Linked DNA regions of Schizosaccharomyces pombe. Changing the gene in region 1 together with any one later gene gives a genetic interaction. Each region holds a gene or a part of one and is shown in the gene's direction. Other genes may lie near its edges. The genes, in order: mcs4, win1, wis1 and cdc25.

The links.
Region 2: of mcs4 (region 1) and win1, changing one enhances a phenotype caused by changing the other (phenotypic enhancement), as found in Schizosaccharomyces pombe (one study listed by BioGRID).
Region 3: of mcs4 (region 1) and wis1, a mutation in one rescues a mutant of the other (synthetic rescue), as found in Schizosaccharomyces pombe (one study listed by BioGRID).
Region 4: mutations in mcs4 (region 1) and cdc25 are lethal when combined (synthetic lethality), as found in Schizosaccharomyces pombe (3 studies listed by BioGRID, with this or other methods).

Annotation. Positions count from the first base shown.
Region 1 is NC_003423.3:3,555,140-3,559,647, forward strand, and holds mcs4 (response regulator Mcs4), read left to right. Parts: upstream 1-1,948; 5' UTR 1,949-2,134; coding exon 2,135-3,703; 3' UTR 3,704-3,998; downstream 3,999-4,508. Other genes in the region: leucine-rich repeat protein Sog2, read right to left, coding at 1-343; tRNA pseudouridine synthase Pus2, read left to right, coding at 4,257-4,508. UniProt on the Schizosaccharomyces pombe protein: Response regulator that coordinately controls the stress activated wak1-wis1-sty1 MAP kinase pathway and fission yeast cell cycle.
Region 2 is NC_003424.3:5,088,196-5,095,348, forward strand, and holds win1 (MAP kinase kinase kinase Win1), read left to right. Parts: upstream 1-1,620; 5' UTR 1,621-2,245; coding exon 2,246-6,556; 3' UTR 6,557-6,653; downstream 6,654-7,153. Other genes in the region: Spg1-binding protein Etd1, read left to right, coding at 1-803, 866-1,131; rpl3002 (60S ribosomal protein eL30), read right to left, coding at 7,016-7,106. UniProt on the Schizosaccharomyces pombe protein: Involved in a signal transduction pathway that is activated by changes in the osmolarity of the extracellular environment. Activates the wis1 MAP kinase kinase by phosphorylation.
Region 3 is NC_003423.3:1,143,231-1,148,456, reverse strand, and holds wis1 (MAP kinase kinase Wis1), read left to right. Parts: upstream 1-1,853; 5' UTR 1,854-2,672; coding exon 2,673-4,490; 3' UTR 4,491-4,726; downstream 4,727-5,226. Other genes in the region: ubiquitin hydrolase Uch2, read right to left, coding at 5,184-5,226. UniProt on the Schizosaccharomyces pombe protein: Dosage-dependent regulator of mitosis with serine/ threonine protein kinase activity. May play a role in the integration of nutritional sensing with the control over entry into mitosis. It may interact with cdc25, wee1 and win1. May activate sty1.
Region 4 is NC_003424.3:478,664-483,948, reverse strand, and holds cdc25 (protein tyrosine phosphatase (M phase inducer) Cdc25), read left to right. Parts: upstream 1-1,575; 5' UTR 1,576-1,663; exon of another isoform or gene 1,664-1,763; 5' UTR 1,764-2,408; coding exon 2,409-4,199; 3' UTR 4,200-4,721; downstream 4,722-5,285. Other genes in the region: hxk1 (hexokinase 1), read left to right, coding at 1-502; DNA replication pre-initiation complex subunit Sld3, read left to right, coding at 5,253-5,285.

The DNA of each region.
Region 1 (4,508 bases):
CTGGCAGTTGCTTGATTTTATTGCGAGAAATGTCTAAAATTTCAAGTGACTCAAGTCGACACAAAGATTCGGGAAACTCTCTAAGGACATTCGATCTAATATTTAGGTACCGGAGACGAGTAAACTTTAGGATTTCAGGACCAATACTCTTTATAAAGTTATGGCCTAGCGCTAGTCTCGCTATCCGACCCTGGATTCTTTCCAATTGTTCATAAGGTAATTCCCGCAAGTTTAGATGAGATAGATCTAACGTAAGTGCATTTTCAGGACCCGCATCTTCTGCCTCTTTAATAATTCTTTCAATTTCTGAGTTTTTTGTGGAGGACACCTCATGAGCAGACATAGCATGAAAAGATCGATCACCTCAGACGTAAATCCGAAGGTTTTGTTGAAAAAAAAAGGAACTCTAAGAAGTAATAATTACTAAAAAAATGCAATGAACATAAAATTGATCCACAATGGTATGCTATAATGTACAAAAGTCAATTCCCCAAAATTTACTGCCAAGCTAGTTCGCGGAACGAATAAACTCACTTCTTTCTGTGTACGCATCTGTAGGTTGTACTTTTTTATTTTAACAACGTGAATAAGCACTTTTCCTTAAAATAATTACAGTTTATTAACGTTTACACAAAATATTTTCGTTAAGTTTGATATTGCGTTTTATTTTTTTTAGCTATGCAGTTCGTAATTATCATTAATGATATGTTAGACTACTTGATTTTCGTATGTGCACTACATAGCGGTACATATGGTTGTATGATAACGGGGGTTACGGATATCCTTGTATGAAGGCGGTAATGTAATTTATCTCTAAACAAACCACCACAGCTGAACTAAAGAACGTTGTTCCTTTGATTTTACATCTATCATTTCTAGCTAATAAATTAAAAAATTTATTAGTGGATCTACATCGTATTGTTATCATTTGTAAGACGATAGGTAATCAGAACATGTGACATATAGTAATTCGTAATTGTAATGTAGTATTGTTAGCATTCATTTCTAATTCTTGAATGATCAAAAGCACTCGCTATATTATGTTGGTTCGAACTTTTTGAGTTCATCGAGATCAGAAGTCGTTATTAACAGGAGCAACAAATGCTAACGCTACAGTATGTTTTGTGGTAAATAATTCTTTAAGTGTAAATTGATAACTTTTTGAATGAGTTGCAATTTTGTTGATTCAATATTTCTGTCATTTATCTATAGTTTGTTTATCAATTTGATTATCTTGGTGCGTTTGATTTCCTAATCATTAATATTTATTGTTTATTTTATTAGTCCTTAATATATTGCTTCCTAATAGAATCGCCTAGGTTTATCATTATGATTTAAGAACCTGATAAAAATAAATGAGTTGATAAATTGTACATATAATCAAACACGGTTTTTTTTTCTATGACTAAATGGGTTACTATCTAAAATAATTTTTTTTGGTTTCTCATTGAGAAATTGAAGCCTCATTATTTTTGAATTTCAAAAATATTGGTTTGTGTTGATTAAATCATTTAATCTGAGTCATTAAATATCCAAACCTGACAAGTAGTAATAGGACCATTAATGGTAGCCAACTAAGTATGGGTATAACGTTTAATTTTTTTTTTTTTTAAACTACATACTTTAAATAAAATCTAAAATAAGGAATAAATTTCAGAAACAATTACTCAATTAGTTAAATTTTAGTAATGTCGAATTCTAATAGTAAGTCAATAACACAACAGTATCCCTTTTAAACGAATACTTATTTGCTCGTATCGTAGAATGTATAATTTACAATCGCAGTTTTAGCTGTGCCTATTATTTTCACGTGTTAAAATTTATTCGATTTTTGTCCTCAGATGGAAGGTGTTACTCTAAGTACTCTACTAAATCCCCAGCGCTTGTTGCACGACTAGGTAACGAAACTCAACACCTTAAGTAGGCTTGCCGTATTGTATCGTGAACCATACCTTACTCATTCCTTATCACGAACAGTGATTTTATACTTGTATATTTCTATTAAATTTAAAATAGAAGGGGATTATACAAGAAGCTATCGAATGTTAAACGTAAAAACAGGCGGCTGTTTTGGTTGTTCATACTGTATATAGGAAAGTTGAGGTTAAGTCAAAAGAAAGAAGATATATAGAAGATGCGCATTTGGTTTAAAAAAGTTCCAGATGGGATTACTTCCTCCGTTATATTGTCTGAAGATCATCTGGTTGACGATTTAAAAGATGCCATCGCTCGGAAATTCCCTATTCGTATCAGTCAGTATTATGATGCACCTGAGCTTTCGATTCGTGTAGTAGCTCCACCAAATGCATCATCGGAGTTGCAATCTAGAGAACTCAGTCCCAACGAAAGCATATTATTTGTCATGGAAACTTATTATCCTCATGGTCAGGATTTTAACGACGCGCTTCTAGTAGCGTCGCCGGATACCTCAGTTGCCTTAAGATATCGCTCTTCTCAACTCTCATCCTCTACATTTGAATCAACACCTCCCGTTTTTTCTGAATACCCACCTAACATAATCCCTACCCCAGCGAACGAAACAGTCCCGCGTATCAAACAGCCATCCATTGCTCTTGATTCACTTGAGAGCCCGGTTTCTGCCCCTTCACGACATCAAAGTACTTATTCTTATAAAGGAGGTCCTTTAAATTATAATTTACGAAATGCATCCCGAACTAGGTCCCATCAAACTCTTCCTTCCTCTAATGTAAATAAAACTGGCGTACTACTTTTGCCTCGTTCTTCTAGACAGCAAACATTGGCTTCAAGACCCTCTTTACCAGATCTAACTTCAGCTGACAAGTCGCAACCATCAGACGAAGCCGAATCCATTACTAGAAAAAATTCTATTGGAATGTCGACTCGGTCTGATGAATCAACAGCTGAAAAATTGGCGAAAGCCGAAGTCGCGACACCCACTAATAGTAGAAGTATTAGTCATTCATCGCTTTATACGAAACAATCTGGTACCGCAGGAGTCCTTCCCGCGGTTAATGCTGATATTGACGCAGCAAATAGGATGAACCCTGATATCAGTTCTCAATTTCCTATAGCAGACAACAAAGATCCCTTAAATGCTGATACACAAGCCCATTTAGGATTTCCTTCTAATCAAATAGATGGAATTGTTGGTACTTCACCAGTCAATGTTCTAACAAGTCCCGGCATAGGTGCGAAAGCACCTTTTGCTAGTCTACTTGAAGGAGTGATTCCTCCAATTAACGTTTTGATTGTTGAAGATAATATTATTAATCAAAAAATCCTAGAGACTTTTATGAAGAAGCGCAATATTTCCTCGGAGGTTGCTAAAGATGGGCTTGAAGCACTCGAGAAGTGGAAAAAGAAATCTTTTCACTTGATTCTAATGGACATCCAACTTCCCACGATGTCCGGTATTGAAGTCACCCAAGAAATTAGGAGACTTGAGCGGTTAAACGCAATTGGAGTTGGTGCTCCAAAATTGACACAACCGATACCTGAAAAGGATCAGCTAAATGAAAACAAATTTCAATCTCCTGTGATTATAGTGGCACTTACTGCTTCTAGCCTAATGGCTGATCGAAACGAGGCTTTAGCTGCTGGTTGCAATGATTTTCTTACAAAGCCTGTCTCTTTAGTTTGGCTAGAGAAAAAAATTACGGAGTGGGGCTGTATGCAAGCGCTTATTGATTGGAATGGTTGGTGCCGTTTTCGCGGTCGATGATATTAGCCTTACCAAATTTTGTATCACTGTGTTTTGTTCTGTTCACCACAATAAGTCGAGCTCCGCTCATTTTATTTCCGTAATCTTTTATTGTATAAAATTAATCTTTTGGTTATCAATTTGTCGGACGCTATGGTTTGCTAGCAAAATAATTTCCTCTTTTCCTTTACCTAATTACCTGCCTTAATTATTAATGGATCAGCTTGTCATAGATACTTATTGCTAATTGTGTTATCCTTATAACTAAACACTTTCTGATTTACCTAATATTATGTTGTACATTAAAACTCCAAAATTTCGTTATTCATCTACAAAGATAATAAAGTAGGATATCTTATTTTCGTATCTAATATTTTAGTTGTAAAGACTTTTAATATGTCGCTAAAAAATGAGCGTATTTCAATCTCGTGTGCATCATTCTTGATTGCGTCCATACCACACTTAAACACCAATATTTTCTGTGTCTTTTGTTTTAATACGTTTTTGTAATTAATAGTAAACTGTGGTGTTTTTTTTTTCTTTAAATTTTTTTAGAAGATTTGTTTTATAAAAAATGACTTCTATCTCGAAAAGAAAAAATCAACAGGAGCATATACCCGCAGAGGATCTAGAAACACCAAAATTACCAAAGCGAGAAAAAATCGAGGGCACAAAAGAATCTAACAAAGTTCGTATCATCATTTTATTGGGATATTCTGGTTATGGTTACCATGGGATTCAAATAAATAATCCCCTTAAAACAATTGAAGGAGATGTTGTAGCTGTACTTAAAAAATTGGGCTATTTAAAAACAAATAACATTGAT
Region 2 (7,153 bases), on another chromosome or scaffold:
TGAAGGTGTGACTCTACAACGAAGGCATGTGAAAGGCATGAAAAGTTATGGTTCAGATATTACACCGAGGCGCCCTAAACAGCTTGGATTACCGAAAGAAGTTAACACCTCCGAATGCATAGATCAAGGCTCATGGAGGAAACCCTCAGCATTTGAAAGCTTAAGAAGTTACTCCCGAAAATTTTCTAAACGAATTTTTTCATTCATAGGAGTTGAGTCAAAAAGTACTGTACAACGCAACGCTTCAGGTGCAGACAGTACGTCGTTGTCTCACTTTACGGCGAATGAGATAAACAAAGGCAACTGTAAAAAAACTGCGTTAAGTAATGAATTTAATTCGGCCAATAAAGGGAGCAAGGCTAGTGGTGTAGGTGCTGAACTACCTTCAGTTAATGGATTTATTGAAGGTGAGCTTCATGATGATAATGAGACAGATTCCTTTCGGATAAATGAATTAGCTAAGCAAATCCAAGAAACTTCTTTGGGTGCGACTACGCAAGAAGATGAGAGTTCGGATGGTATTTGCTGGGACGAGTTATCGACTACTTCGCCAGAGTCGTCGAAAGTGTCGGAACCTATCATTCAAGACAATACGCAAACGACTCATATAAATAACGATTCATCGGATATTCGATTTTCATCTCGTTGCGATTTATTTGCGGACGATGCGGATTCAGATTGGGAGCAGGACTTTAATGTGAAATTCGATAGTCCATTGATAATTCCCGAAACGGTAAACAGTGCAGGACACACCGTTCGAGAACAGCTTTTTGAGGTGAAGGAATTTACGAGATCCATCAAAGGTAAGACATTCATGTGTTGTAATGCTTTAGTTTTAACCGCTGCTAACTAAAAACACAAATAGACTTAAAAGATCTTTACGAAAAGGCAAATTCCAAAGATATTTACGACAAGGACTCAGAGATTTTAGGAGAGGCTAAGGCTATTCTACGGTTAGCGGATCCTGCAAATTATTCTGATTTAAAGGATGAGGACGCGCAAAACATTTTATCAAAATATAAAGTTAAGTTGGAAGGGGATTCTTCATTAGATTTCGATGCGTCCATGCTACCAGGGCTAAACGATCATGTGCATTATTTAATGTCCCAACTCCAACTATTATTACACTGAGTTTCTCTTTTTGGCTATTTAATCCATTAATGGAATGGGAAGTATCTATTTTGTTATCCAAAGTGTCAAAATTTCGCTTAGGATAATTTCAATAATTGTGAGAACAGTTTCGCATTGGTGGATAGCAAGTAAAGGTGAAACTGGCCATTACAACCTTTTTATACTTCTGCATCTTAAGAAGCTTTTGGTTTTATTGTAAATTTCTTTCGTTTTCTCTTTTTAATAAATCTATTTTGCAATAATATTTCGGAAAAAGTACTAGACAGATGTTTTGTCTTTTGTGAATATTAGTCCAACCTTTATTCTGTGATAAAAAGATTTTATTAAATTAAAGTAAAAGAATGTAAATCAAAAATACCTGAAAACCCATATCTATGATTTTGCTATTTAGTGAGAAATTCCTCATTGCACTGAAAATCCTTAAAACTAGTACCCCACTTCATACTATACTACGGGGTTAGACCACAATTAGTTGTTTATCCTTTGCACACCGCAAACCTATAAATTTTCTTTTTGTCAATTCCACATATTCTACAAGGAGGATTGACTTTTTAGTTCACTGATTATTGCTCTTTCAACAATTTATACGCGGTAGTTTTACTGCTCTTCGGCTCGTATAATTTTTTTACACAACACTTTTATCGATTTTTTAAGCCGAATTTCTACATTTAATATTTTATCATTTTTTTCTGCTCATTAATATTTACCGTATCTTTTCGAAAACCCATTGCTTTGGATGTGTGTGTGTGTCTCTCTCTCTACGTTCCTCAATTTGACTGCATTACTTTAATATACTTACAACCTGAATTCTGTTCGGTTGGTAATTCCTGCAATCGTTATTTGTCTTTGTCAACTTCGGATTTTTTATTTTTACATATAACAGTAGTTGCATTGACTTCGCTGCACAATTCCTTACACTGAGTTGGCATTCCTTGCATCTGTAAACCACTTTTTCATTACCCACTCCCATTTTTGACTTCAGTAAACAATTATTCTACTACTACTTGCCACTATTCCAAACTTATCTGTTTCCCGTTTTGGGTTTAAATTTGGGTATAACGGTCTTTTTTATACATAACTTCTGAAGCAATTCGAAATTTGTTCCTCAACAAACATGGAAAATATTTTGGATCCTTCTGTGGTCAATTCACATATACTAGAAAATGGCTCAAGGCGATCTTCTATCAATCCAATTCTTGATAGTGAATTGCGTGATAAAACATTTGAAAAGGCTCATCGTCGCTCTTTGACTTTACTTTCAAGTTTTACCTCGTCTATGCTTGAACTTCCTAACAACGGAAAAGAAGAAAATCACAGAAGGCCATCTGTTGCGCGTAGCTCAAGTGATAGATCCAAGGCGAGCGCCAAAGAGGACTTATTTTCAGAAGCTTTCAGAATGGCTGAACAGCCTCCAGCCGAGGCCCTTACTATTTCTACCCCTGTTGACCCAATCAATATTGATGAATTAGATCGTGCTTATGCCGTAAGTCCAAGCGATACTAGTAATCTACTACATCCTCCTACTTCTTCCTCTTCCATTCCTATACCAATTAAGAATGCTGGTCATTCAAACCTCGATCATCCTATCCGACCTAGTCTGCAAAGTAGTATTAGCTCAAATAGGATAATAAAGTCTCCCGGTATTAAGGAAGACGATTATATGCACAGAGGACGTTCTATTTCGTCGCCAATGATTGATGTTGAACACATAAATTCAACAGCAGTTCCAAGCAAAACTAAAAATTTGCCAGAAAAGCCCAAGCGTTCTCACAAACTAAGAAATTCTATAACATTTGCTAAAATTGAAGATCATCCTGAGAGGAAATCTCAATTAAGACGACTGAGTAGTTCGTTAAAGTGTTTTGACCCAGAATATGATTATAACGATCCTTCTCTAAGCATTCGTCGTGATAGTTCAACTTATTACTTTTCTAATGTTAATGAAACTTATGATGAGGAGGACTCGGATTTAGATTCTGAGACTTCAACTGTAAATTGGGTACAATCTGTTCTGAATCTCCCATCCTTACTTTCTGATGATTTAATGGCTAACCCAAAAAACAAAGAACGTTTTGAATGGCAATATATGTTGACTTCAGTTCTGACTGGTGATATAGTCCGATCTGAAAAATTACGGCTAAGAAAGATTGCTTCTTCTCGAGAAGGGCGAAATAGTGATTATTCTGATAATTTGTGGATGGAAATATGGTGTTGGCTTACTCATCGTTCCGTTGATTCTTATAGAGAAAATTTAAAACATCTTCGTACGGGTATGGTTGATGTGCTACTGGCCATTATGAATTTTCATTGGGATGAGAGCAACGAATTAACCCCTATTGTTGCTGTCGATAACATGCTGCAAAAACTTGATAAATATGAACGTTTATATCCTTCACGTCGTTCTATCCTTCAGGAACATTCATTATATGCTTCAGAATCTTTTCAGCACAAGTTGGATGTCTTGACGGCTTATTCTAATGTCACTCATGCGCTAGAAATTCAAGTTAACATTATTCGCTCGTGGGTTGGTAATGAGGAAATGGACATTACCAAAAATACTACAAATTCTATTAATAACGTTTCTCAAATTTCAAACGGACCATTTGTGGAGCGCTTTTATAGAGAAACCGGTTTGATTCGAGCTTTTGAGCAAAGAATCATGACTAATATGAATAGCGTATTAAGCAAAGTTTGTAATACGATTGTTACATATGCGGATGATTTAAAAAGTTATGGCTTGCCGCTTATTGCTGATGATTACATGCGTCTTCTTTCTTTTCCGTTTAGGTTAATCAAAGAGTTCCTAAATCTTCGCTTATCATGTGCAGAAAATATTACCTCAATTTCTTTATTTACGATTGACTCTTTACTAGATGACCTTCGGAACACTATGAAAGTTGCCGTCCATATCATTCAACAACACACTGTTCTAATCAAACCTTTTCGTGATGATAGCAAATTTGTTGATGAAAACCAGTCCTTAAACAATATTTTAGTTGCCTCATTGAAATTTTACTTCAATTTATTACATCGTAAGGTTCGCAATGGCTGTGCCTTGCTGCATTTCAAAGAAACCGAAATTTTAGAAGGAGAATGGGATTTTCTGCTCGCTGTTTGTCCCCACATCGAACACGGATTCCAAATTATGTCTAAAAGTCTTTCTTCGCTGGTTGGTGAAATATTGACCAATATCAATAGGTATCTAAAAGATCAGCTGCAGGGGCCCGATACCGATGACTCTGCATTGATCACCTCATTTTATATCAAGGTGCTTGACTGTGTTAGAATTCGCTTCCGAAAATTGATGAGTTTTACTCGTATACTAAAAGCGCATTTGGAAAATTCTTGCGAGTACGTTATTAAAGAGAATTCATTATCCCTTTTAATACAACGCCTTGAAGAATCAAATCACGTTTTGACATATACGGCGAGTATCGAACATGAAGGAGCATACGTAATTGTTCCAGGACACCTAGTTGATTCCCCTAATATACTTCGTGAGGTACTTTCAATGACTTTTAATAAAGGAGATAATAATTTTGAAAGTGTACCTCCATATGCGGTTGTATTGGCTCCAGACAGCTCAATATGTTGGAACGGCCATGTTACAGATCTTGATATTCCGGAAGTGTCAATTTCCATTGCTCCTAACTGTGTCCGTTTAGTAACGTTAGCGACAGCTAATCAACTCTCTGTTATCGAAGATTATTTTATTAGTATAGTTGGTGACACAGTCTCACTTGTTGATTCTGCGAAAGCAAATTCATCCAAAATCAACAAACAAATGACCAAAATTAAACGAAATTCTTTGAAGTTGGCTTTGTCATTGCTTGATGTGATACAAACAATTCGTACAAGGTACCATGGCATGAATTGCCAAAATCTAATTCATTATTCTTTTTCTTACGCCATTGAATTTGCACAACGATTAATGAGGCTTTCGATCCTAGACGCATCTAGCATTGGGCTGATTCGTCGCAAAATGATACAGCTGGCGATCAGTTGGGTTGGATTCATCTATGAGGATTGTTCTCCTACCGATAGAAATACGTTTCGTTGGACTGTTACGGCTTTAGAATTCGCAATGATTATGACATACGGTTCGAACATTTTAATGATTGATAAAAAATCATTTGAAGAACTCAAAGAAAAGGTTGGAAAATGTGTGGCATTATTACTTTTGCACTTTGATGTTATGGGTACTAAACATGCTGGTCGTAGTATGGACCAACAAGCTGGAGATATACCAGCTCGCCTTGTTCGAAATAATTCCGACCGAAGTCGTTTATCGGATAATGAGTTGGCTTCCTTTGTCAAGGAGGAGGTTATGCATCGGATAATTGAACTAGAAAGTAATAGAAGGGACCGACTTTATAAGTCCCAGCTCATTGGACGTGTTTTGGATGATACGACAAAGGAGAACAGGCTATTGAAAGAGCTAGCCTCTTCGAAATCTAATATCACGATTCGATGGCAACAGGGTGGACTTATAGGTAGCGGTTCTTTCGGTACGGTTTATCGTGCTGTTAACTTGGATACAGGAGATTTAATGGCTGTTAAAGAAGTGGCATTGCATAAACCTCGTATATCTAGACCGATGATCAAGAGGATTAAAGGTGAAATGTTAGTACTTGAACTCTTTGATCATCCTAATGTCGTATCGTATTATGGTATCGAAGTGCATCGTGAAAAAGTTAATATATTTATGGAACTTTGTCAAGGCTCTTCGCTTTTCGAATTTCTACGTTACGGTAGAATTGAGGACGAATTGGTAATTCAAGTTTATGTCCTACAATTATTAGAAGGATTGGCTTACATACACTCCTGTGGTGTTTCACATCAAGATGTAAAGCCTGAGAATATCCTTTTTGATCACAACGGGATCATGAAATTTACAGATTTTGGTTCTGCCAAGATGTCGGGTTCTGCTTCAACTAAAATTTTTGAACAGTTAACACAACAAGAAGAGGAAGAGTTTGAAAAAGACTCGGAATTTTTGCAGCATCTAGACCAAAATCGCGGTTACTCCTTGACAGGAACACCTACGTATATGGCGCCAGAATTAATTCTTGGTAATCCGTCCGAAAGGGTTGGTGCTATGGATATTTGGTCACTTGGATGTGTTATTGTTGAAATGGCTACGGGTTCCCCACCTTGGCCTAGATTAGATAATCATTTTTCTTTGATGTATCACATTGCTGCACATAATCCTCCTATTATTCCTGCAGATGATCAGCTTTCGCCTTTGGGTCAAAATTTCCTCAAACGTTGTTTTGTTTCTGATCCCAATCAGCGCGCTACAGCTGCCGAATTATTAATGGATCCATGGGTGTATCCCTTACGGGCTGGTACGGAATTCGATCTTATGAACTCATCCGTAGTCGAATCAGCGCCTTCTACCAATGGTGCTCCGTTGGAACTTTAGATGTTTGCTATGTTTTACACCTTATGACTATTTTTTGGATACGGTTTTAATTTAATACTTAATTAATAGAGACGAGAAATATTATAAAGTCCTAAACACTTTGTAAGTTTTGTATTCGTAGCAATCTATGCGGTATTCATTAAATGAATCGTTATTGAATTAGTTGAGTGTAAAAGTGACTTTATCATAGAATCATTTTTACTACGGCGCTAGGAAGAGACGTTAATTAAATTACCTTGCTACAACAATCAAACGTAAATACAATGCATATATTGATGAGTTTCATTGTTACGCTAATATACAAGATAGATCAGCCTAATGCTGAATTTTTTACATTTGTTTAGATATGTCAAGCTAAAGAGTTCCTGGATTCTACCAGAAACTTGGAAATCCAATAAAAATAATCCGATTTATTTTATCTGCCATAACATTGATTTTAAAAATTTTAATAAGTTTTACCTAAGCAGCAAGAATGTCGGAATCGCCAGCATCAATAACTGCTAATACACCGACGCGAAATAATTTACCACATGCAGTTCCTAAATCAATACTTGAAAACAGTTAGTAAAACAAAATTCGACTCCCAATTAAGATCTC
Region 3 (5,226 bases), 2.4 Mb from region 1:
TCAGTCATCTTTTCACGCTTTTCTTTCTCTACTCAGTGTATTATAAGCGCTACCCTTTTATTCATTCTAACTATCAAAGAATTCCTTTTTCCTTTCCCCAAAAAACAACTACCATTCGTATGTACAGTCGTCTTAGTCTACTATTGTATGGTATGTGGCATACGCAGCCGTGGGTGCCAGCCAGCAACCATACCAAGTCAAAAATTTCTCTTATAGCAAATCAATTCTTCATTCAATTCAAATAATGTAAAAAAAAACGCATCTATAGAAACATACGATGAAACTTTTTAAATACAAACTAATAATGAAAATACTCGCAGACTAACAATGAAAATACTCCAAAATCTAATAAAGAATTAGCAATTTGGCATTTCATGAAACCGTAAAGCGTCAAACGAAATGAAATCTAATAAAATTAATAAAATTAAAATAAAATGCCTTCTTCTTCTTCTCAGTTTCATCGTATGATTTTCTCTTTTAATTTCTTCATTTTATTCCACTTTCCTTCTCTTCTTTAGTTTTTCCTCATTTTTGGATGTTGGGAATACAGCCTCTTTCTATCTAGTTTCATCTTCAGCCTTTTTCACCACATGTTCAATCATTCGACTCTTTCTGTATTCTTCTATCTCAATTGAACATTATTGAGTCTGTTTTAATGAAAATTTTTTTTGTCTTCCCTTGATGTTGGCGCAAAACTAGACGTTCCAAATTTTTTCTCATTAATAAAGGATTATCCTCAAATCGTTTTTATAGCCCCCTTTCTACTTTGTTCGAGCATACACCGTACATTATGCATTTGCATATAGATGGAGTGATCTAGGAACTTTTGTAAATTTTTTTCTCTTTGCTTGTTTTTCCTTCCTACGAAAGTTCTACCCCTTCGTTGCACTTTTCACTTCAGTGTCTTTTTCCATAGAACAAAATGTTCCTAGCAGTTTTGCTGCTACTCTTACATTATTTTTGTGTGTTTCCTTAAACAAAAGAAATTTAAAAAAATTAGAAAAAAAAAAAAAATTTAAAAATAAATAAATTTTTTTTTACGCTGCTTCTAGAGCACAAATAACACACTCTCTTCATTCCACTTGCTGAACCTTTTAACGATTATTAAAAAATGTTTTATTATACATTACTACACCTTTTCGAAACACTTGTGCGTTAACTCGCTTTTTTTTATCGCTCTCAAGGACGGAAGCTACTAGGTTAGTTATATTTCTCTTATTTATTTGGTTATACATTTTACCTTGGATCATGATTTTTCTTAGTATACATTGACATTCGAATACCAGCTTTGAAACTTAAAGCCCTATGCACCTAATCATTAATTATTTTTGTTTTTATTTATTTATTCTTTATTCTTTTCTAATCAAACACTACCATATCTATCGGACAATTCAATTCCTTCTGTCAAGACCGATAAATCGTTGTGTTTATCTTCCATTAAAATATTTTTCGGCCCTTTTTTTTTCTGTTTTTCTTTACTTCTATGTATTATTCTCTATACGTTGAGCATTTTACCCAATCATCCTGTGCTTTCCCATTAATCCATCGAGGTATTTCTTACCAGCTATTTCTGCCGTACATTCTTTCCATTTGCATATAAATCTCAGGATACCTTGTTAGAAATCTTGTCGAATGATTCATACAGGTCGTTACGCTTATACGGAGATCTGCAGCATATTATTTGGCTTCACGTTATTTTGATTTTACAAATTTGATTGTATCCCTTAACCATCCCTTGTTTTGATGAAACATTTTTTTATCCACGTTATCCTTATATACTGATACGTAAGCTAACGTGCAAAAGTTTCTCCTTAAGATTAAGCAACGTGTTGTCTGACTTTCGTTATCCTTTTATCCTTCACCAACTCCATCCCATTCCACCTTCTTGTATACCCAAACATACCCCAGCCGGCTGGCGATAGCTGGGATTCCTAATCTCTCAAGCATTCCCTTTCGACGTGTATATCTTATTTACATCGTACCGACTACACTTCCTATTTTATCACCCTCCCTAAATTTTCCCATTTCCTTTAAAGAGCAGAATTTTTTTTGCTCTTTACTGTAAGAGAAAAGCGTTTCTGAATTTTTTCTCTTCCTTCCACACCCTTACGTGTTATCTTTTAGAAAGATAATTTCAAATTTCTTTCCTTTTTATTTCGTGTTTGTGAATTATTACTTTTTCTCCTTACCTTTGCCTCCTTACTCGTCGGTCATAACTCGGTTTTAAAGTATTGACTTCTCGGACTAAGATTAACCCACACCTTTTTACTTTTTTTTCTTTAGTTCTCCTTGGGAAATTTATTATCTAAGCCCCTGTTTCTTCCAGTTTCTGGCTTTTGCTGTTAAATTTAAACCCTTCCAAACCTCCTTTTTTTCCGTGGCATTTACCTACACAAAGCTACTCGTAGGTGATTGCCTTTAAACTTCCTTTTTTTTTCTTGGAATATCCTTCCTGCGGACTTTTTAGACCACCGCTTTTTTTTTCCTTCTTCGTCGGAGACGACTCGTAATTGATTGTCTAATTTTAATTGTTCTTTTCACCCAAGATACCTTTTTTGTATTGCCATCTCACTTTCGTTCATCTTCACTTTTGCTTCATTTATATTACCGGAATTTAGTTTACCTAATTTTTTTTTCTTTTTTTTTAAGTTTGTGAAGCACATTTATTTTATATGTCTTCTCCAAATAATCAACCCTTGTCTTGCTCATTGAGACAGCTGTCTATTTCTCCTACCGCACCTCCCGGTGATGTTGGTACTCCCGGCTCGCTCCTTTCTCTTTCGTCTTCAAGTTCTTCAAACACCGATTCTTCTGGTTCTTCCTTGGGTTCCTTGTCTTTAAATTCTAACAGTAGTGGCAGTGACAATGACTCAAAGGTTTCTTCTCCTAGTCGTGAAATACCTTCCGATCCCCCTCTTCCCCGTGCCGTGCCTACGGTCAGACTTGGCAGATCTACGTCCAGTCGGAGTCGTAACTCTCTTAACCTTGACATGAAGGATCCTTCGGAAAAACCTAGACGTTCACTTCCTACAGCAGCTGGTCAGAACAATATTGGATCTCCTCCTACTCCACCGGGCCCATTTCCTGGAGGACTTTCAACTGATATACAGGAGAAATTGAAGGCCTTCCATGCATCTAGATCAAAATCAATGCCGGAAGTAGTCAACAAGATCAGTAGTCCAACTACCCCTATTGTCGGTATGGGTCAACGAGGAAGTTATCCTTTGCCTAACTCTCAACTTGCTGGTCGATTAAGTAATTCGCCCGTAAAGTCTCCGAATATGCCAGAGTCCGGGCTTGCAAAATCACTTGCTGCTGCTAGGAATCCTTTACTCAACCGTCCAACGTCCTTCAATCGACAAACGAGAATCCGTCGTGCACCACCTGGAAAACTCGATTTATCCAATTCCAATCCCACCAGCCCTGTCAGTCCGTCTAGCATGGCTTCTCGCCGTGGCCTAAACATTCCTCCCACCCTTAAACAGGCTGTTTCGGAAACCCCTTTTTCCACATTTTCGGATATTTTGGATGCAAAATCAGGCACCTTAAATTTTAAAAACAAAGCCGTGTTAAATTCAGAAGGTGTTAACTTTTCATCTGGCTCTTCGTTTCGTATTAATATGTCAGAGATTATTAAGCTTGAAGAACTTGGAAAAGGTAACTATGGTGTTGTGTATAAAGCATTGCATCAACCGACTGGTGTCACTATGGCCTTGAAGGAAATTAGGTTGTCCTTAGAAGAAGCAACATTTAATCAAATTATAATGGAATTGGATATTTTACATAAAGCAGTTAGTCCTTATATCGTTGACTTTTATGGTGCCTTTTTTGTGGAAGGTTCTGTTTTTATTTGTATGGAATATATGGATGCTGGTAGCATGGACAAACTGTATGCTGGTGGTATCAAAGACGAAGGAGTTTTAGCTAGAACTGCTTATGCTGTAGTGCAAGGCCTCAAAACTTTGAAAGAGGAGCATAATATCATTCATCGTGACGTTAAACCTACTAATGTTTTGGTAAATTCTAATGGCCAGGTTAAGTTATGTGACTTTGGCGTGAGTGGGAATCTTGTGGCTTCTATATCCAAAACGAACATTGGATGTCAATCTTACATGGCTCCTGAAAGAATTCGTGTTGGTGGACCTACCAATGGCGTCTTGACTTACACCGTACAGGCTGATGTGTGGTCTCTAGGCCTTACCATTTTAGAAATGGCTTTAGGAGCTTATCCGTATCCACCTGAATCATATACTTCAATATTTGCACAACTATCGGCGATTTGCGATGGCGATCCACCTTCTCTCCCCGATTCATTTTCTCCCGAAGCTCGTGATTTTGTAAACAAGTGTTTGAATAAAAACCCGTCTTTGCGTCCCGATTATCATGAGTTGGCTAACCATCCATGGTTGTTAAAATATCAAAATGCAGATGTGGACATGGCTTCATGGGCAAAAGGCGCTCTTAAAGAGAAAGGTGAAAAAAGAAGCTAAAGGTTCGCCTGCTTTCTAATTGCCTGCTCTGTTTTAAAGTACCCATGCGCATTGGTGTTTGTCTTTAATTTCGAATGCATGACTATTACGTGATCCATAATTATGTTTCAGCAGAACCGACGCTATTTTGCATTTGTGCTTTTTCATAAATTTAATAATTTGGGTATGATTCCGTATAACGGTAGTTGATGTTTGCATTTTTGCTTTAAATTAAAACGGGTATTTAATGTGTTATTACATTTGTTTAAGGCATTTACGTCCACCATAAAAAACTTTTTTTTTATTTAACTAAGGGGCTTTAGAAGTGCAAACGAAAGTTTGCAATTGTAAAAGTTACTTGTACTGTATTAATTTATTTCTTTTAAAACTTCGTTGACTGGCTCCGTCGTTTTAGCTACTATGATCTCCTGTTTCCTACAATGGTGATTACTTAGAGAGATTGAATCCATCGTAAATGCAAGTGTTAATAGATATTATATCGACCTAATAATAATTACTTAAACTATTAATATATTACTCAAAGAGATTTGAGGTATTCATTTATTTAAAAAGTACGAGACTTTTATATATCAAAGAAACAAATTCTCCCAACATAAGTCCAACAAGGTAATCTAGAGTCATAACAGATTTTTATCCTGGAAATGAAAATTCCTTCATAGTGGAATATTTTTTGAGAAAGAACGCCGTAATATATTACGGTCGCTTTTGAGATGCGTATTTCGCTTTTGCAGTTTCA
Region 4 (5,285 bases), on another chromosome or scaffold:
TCTTGACCTTTATGAACAGGGAGCTCTCTTTAACGGTCAGGACGTTACCAAGATTCGTGACCCCTTGGCCATGGATACCTCTGTGCTCAGCGCTATTGAAGTTGACCCCTTTGAGAACCTTGATGAAACTCAAACCCTATTTGAGGAAACCTATGGTCTCAAGACCACCGAAGAAGAGCGTCAATTCATTCGTCGTGCATGCGAATTGATTGGAACTCGTTCTGCCCGTCTTTCTGCGTGTGGTGTATGCGCCCTTGTTCGTAAAATGAATAAGCCATCTATGATTGTAGGTACTGATGGTAGTGTCTACAACTTATACCCTCGTTTTAAGGATCGTCTTGCTCAAGCATTTAAGGATATCCTTGGTGAGGAAATTGGCAGCAAAGTTGTTACCATCCCCGCCGAAGACGGTAGTGGCGTAGGTGCTGCATTGGTCAGTGCTCTTGAAGCCAAAGGCAAGGCCCTCACTTCTGATATTCTTGCCGAGCATCTTAAGAATTAAGTCCACTCATTGTTTTTAGGTTTTACGGATACTCATTTGATTTTGTGTCACTGAACTCCACGAAGTGTTCGACAAACTGTTTTATACTGCACTTTTTATTTGTTTCATACTCCATCTTTTTGCGTACAATTTGTTCCAGCAATTTTTATGGTTACACTTTTCTTTGTCTACTAATCACGTATCAGGGCGTTTTTACAAAAAGGTGCTCCACCTGATAAAATATTTTCTTTTTTGCTCTAGTGTTTCTGTGGATACGATATCTGCCTCTGATTGCTAGAATACTTTAAATAAAGGTTAGAGTTTTGTTATATTTTGTATGTTGAAGTGTAATAATAGCGGTATCTTTGTTGAAGATATCCGAGTTTAACAAGACAACTGGCTATACTATCTTGCGAAATATGCCTACTACGACAATAATGGTATCAACCCATAGCTACATAACATCGGGAGACTTTCAATGAGTTACACCCTCGTTTTCCAATTCGGAATGACAGTCCGAGTCCCGAAGTAGAGAGATTCATCGTGTTACGATTATTCGCTAACACCTGATAACATATTTTATCTCGCTGCTCGTGTTACATATCAGGAGTGCGGGTATGAGATTATGGGGATTTAATGGCTGTCAAGCAGGTTACCTGACGTTTGTTCTTATGTATTTGTTTACACATACACAACATTTGGCGTTGCTAGGGCAACAAATCAGACAAACTGCGGTGGATCGAATAGCTGAGATGTATGGACATGTAAACAAACATACAAGATGCAAAAATTTATGTGTTTTCATCTAGTTCAATGTTGTTAATGAAATGATTATTTGCTTTTATATAATTAATAGATTAAGAGGTGACATATTGTAGCTTGAAACGGCATTATCTACGCAACTAAACTATACAACAATAGTTGTCATGGCTGAGGTGTTGGCTAAGTATTACAGCTTACAGTTTAACTTTGCTTTAATCATGTATTTGTTTTTATTATTGTTTTCTGTTACTCGAATTTGTTGGTTGGTGTTTTATTGTTGTTGTTACCTTTGCTTTTTTTTCCTCTCGGAGGCAGAGCTGAGATTTCTCTCTACCCTCAACTATCTACAGCGCTTCAAGCTCTTCTCCTTTAGATCAAGTGTATTACATTGAAAATATTATTCTTAAGAATACCAAAGTTGTAAGTTTAAAAAGAACTTGATGCCTGTTAGTTTCGGGCATCCTTCTCTCCTCAAGTTGGATTCCTGTTGATGCTTCTCAAGTACTAACTGCTGGTTCAGTGATTTTTTGAAACGTCTATAATACAATTGCTTACGCTTTTTAAGGCAATTAATAGGATTCTTGAAGTTATTTGTTCAAGAAGCCTTTATATGGTAAAGTGGGGGGTTTATTACTTGTAACGAACTTTGAGTCTGAACTTTTGGGTATTCTGTTGTTTTCATATTAATCAACTGCTTTCTTTTAACTTTCTTTTTTCTTTCATTTTTTCTTTCAACGACAGTATCTTTTATATTCTATATTATAGTCGTGACCGTTGGTGCTCATCTATTTTTGTCTCATTAATCTCTTTTTTTTTATATACTTTTATTCGGTCTTCCCGTCGTGTGGAGTCTAAACTTACTTAAACTTCTTTCCGGTTTCTTTTGTAAAGGTTGGTTTTGTTTAATATTTGGCTATATTGCTTTCATCCTGTCTTTCTTTTAGTTTTCTTTTTGTCTCACTTTGGCATTAATATCTTAAACCGGTCTTTTGACTCTTCCCTAGGATTTTCCTTTATAATTTATCTTACTTGCTCTATTGATTTCTCATTCTGAAACTCAATCTTTTGCAGTCGTGTCGTCCCATTAGTTCTTTTTGCAGTGTACTTGGTTTAAATTAAATTTACCATTTTGTCTGCTTTTAATAATAGTTAAACCTCAACTAAAATGGATTCTCCGCTTTCTTCACTTTCCTTTACCAACACTCTATCTGGCAAACGGAATGTATTGCGTCCTGCTGCCCGTGAATTAAAGTTGATGTCGGATCGCAATGCAAATCAAGAGCTGGATTTTTTCTTCCCGAAATCCAAACACATTGCCTCAACATTAGTGGATCCTTTTGGAAAAACTTGTTCGACAGCTTCACCTGCATCTTCCTTAGCTGCTGATATGTCAATGAACATGCATATCGATGAAAGCCCTGCCTTACCGACTCCTCGTCGTACGCTCTTTCGATCTCTTTCTTGTACTGTAGAAACCCCTCTCGCTAACAAGACTATTGTTTCACCTCTCCCGGAGTCACCCTCGAATGACGCTTTAACCGAGTCCTACTTCTTCCGGCAACCTGCATCGAAGTATTCCATTACCCAAGATTCCCCACGTGTTTCCAGCACTATTGCTTACAGCTTTAAGCCTAAAGCATCAATCGCATTAAACACCACCAAAAGCGAAGCTACTCGTTCGTCATTATCGAGTTCTTCTTTTGATTCCTACCTTCGTCCTAACGTCTCACGTTCTCGATCATCAGGCAACGCACCCCCATTTTTGCGATCCAGATCGAGTTCCTCATATTCCATTAACAAAAAGAAGGGAACTTCTGGTGGACAAGCTACCCGCCATTTGACTTATGCCTTATCCCGTACCTGTAGTCAGTCGAGCAACACGACCAGCTTACTTGAAAGTTGTCTTACTGATGATACGGATGATTTCGAATTAATGTCTGATCATGAGGATACATTTACGATGGGCAAGGTTGCTGATTTACCAGAAAGCTCTGTTGAACTTGTTGAAGACGCTGCCTCTATTCAACGTCCCAACAGTGATTTTGGTGCTTGCAATGATAATTCTTTAGATGATCTTTTTCAAGCTTCACCCATTAAACCTATTGATATGTTACCCAAGATAAATAAAGATATTGCCTTTCCTAGCTTGAAAGTTAGGTCCCCTTCTCCGATGGCATTCGCTATGCAAGAAGATGCGGAATATGATGAGCAAGATACACCAGTGCTTCGTCGTACCCAAAGCATGTTTCTCAATTCCACAAGACTAGGGCTTTTCAAAAGCCAAGATCTTGTGTGCGTTACGCCAAAACAATCGACCAAAGAAAGTGAGCGCTTCATCTCTTCTCATGTCGAGGATTTATCTCTTCCTTGCTTCGCCGTGAAGGAGGACTCATTGAAACGAATTACCCAAGAAACATTGCTCGGTCTATTAGATGGTAAATTTAAGGATATTTTTGACAAATGCATCATTATTGATTGCCGTTTTGAATATGAATACCTTGGGGGCCATATTAGCACTGCTGTGAATTTAAATACGAAACAAGCTATTGTGGATGCCTTTTTAAGTAAACCTCTTACTCATCGGGTTGCACTTGTTTTTCATTGTGAACATAGTGCGCACAGAGCACCTCATTTGGCATTGCACTTTCGAAATACCGACAGACGAATGAATAGTCATCGTTATCCTTTCCTTTACTATCCCGAGGTTTATATACTTCATGGTGGTTACAAGTCGTTTTACGAAAACCACAAAAACCGTTGTGACCCAATTAACTACGTTCCGATGAACGATGCTTCGCATGTTATGACCTGCACCAAGGCTATGAATAATTTCAAACGAAACGCTACTTTTATGCGTACTAAAAGTTATACTTTTGGCCAAAGTGTGTTAGCTTCCCCAGACGTTAATGATTCTCCTACTGCCATGCATTCCCTCTCTACACTTAGAAGATTTTAATGATTTTAGGCTGACTCAATACTTTACCTAGCCTGAAGTATACTCTTATATATTCAACTTTCTAAACCTAAGTTTTTTCTATAAACTTTGAATCATGAAACCTTTTATTTCTATTTTTTATTATTATTATTGAAAGAAAGCAATATACCTTTTAAAAGGTCTCGACAACAAAAAATTTAAACTGGCTAAACTTTTCGAAGTACATCACTTTTACGACTAAATATCTAGAACGACTAGTTTGGTTATTATTATTACGCATGGATTTTGGTTTAATAATTGATTATTTTATAATCAATTGAGCTTAATAATTTCTAAGCAATCACGGGTAAACATACGTACCGAAGTCCATTCTAATTGCTCTTCTCGCAATTGCTGTTGATAGGAATGCTAAGAATTTAGCATTCTTTGATTGAAGCAGTAATGCGATAGGAACTGAGTTGCTTACGTTTTTGTAACTCTACCTAACCATCTCTGATGGAAATATTTAAGTAGAAAACGAATAAAACTTTTATTTTTAAATCACTTCCTTTTATGCATGTTCTGTAAGCGGTAGTATTGTAGCTTACCCTTTCCAATGGAAGGTTAAGTTCACCAGAGAGTTACGAAGTTTTATGTGATATAAAATAGTTACAATGCGGAAGTTGGACATTCACACTTAAGTACCTTCCCAAAAAAAAAATTACGAAAATTTTTAATCAATACTACTTTTTTGGTAAAAATTTAAACATGTTCCGTTGAGAAAGTGAATCATATGTGTGCTTTTTTAAAATTTGAAGATATTTGTAGATTTTGTTTTGTTTACTTTTTATTTGCAACAATCAGAATGTCGTCATCTAAGTCAACCTTAAATTCGCTTATATGAATTTTATTGATTATGACATCAACGCCCTATGAAGTGCAGCTTTGAACGCCAACGATTGTATTTAATACATTGTAGGATAAACCTCGTAATCATAAATAACGAATTGTTTAAGTATGAAAGTTTGCAGAGCACTTAATGTTCAAACAAACAAATCTTTTTAGGTACACTAATTTAAAGATTTTGGTATCTTTATGAATAACGACCATGCTTCCAAGAAATCATTT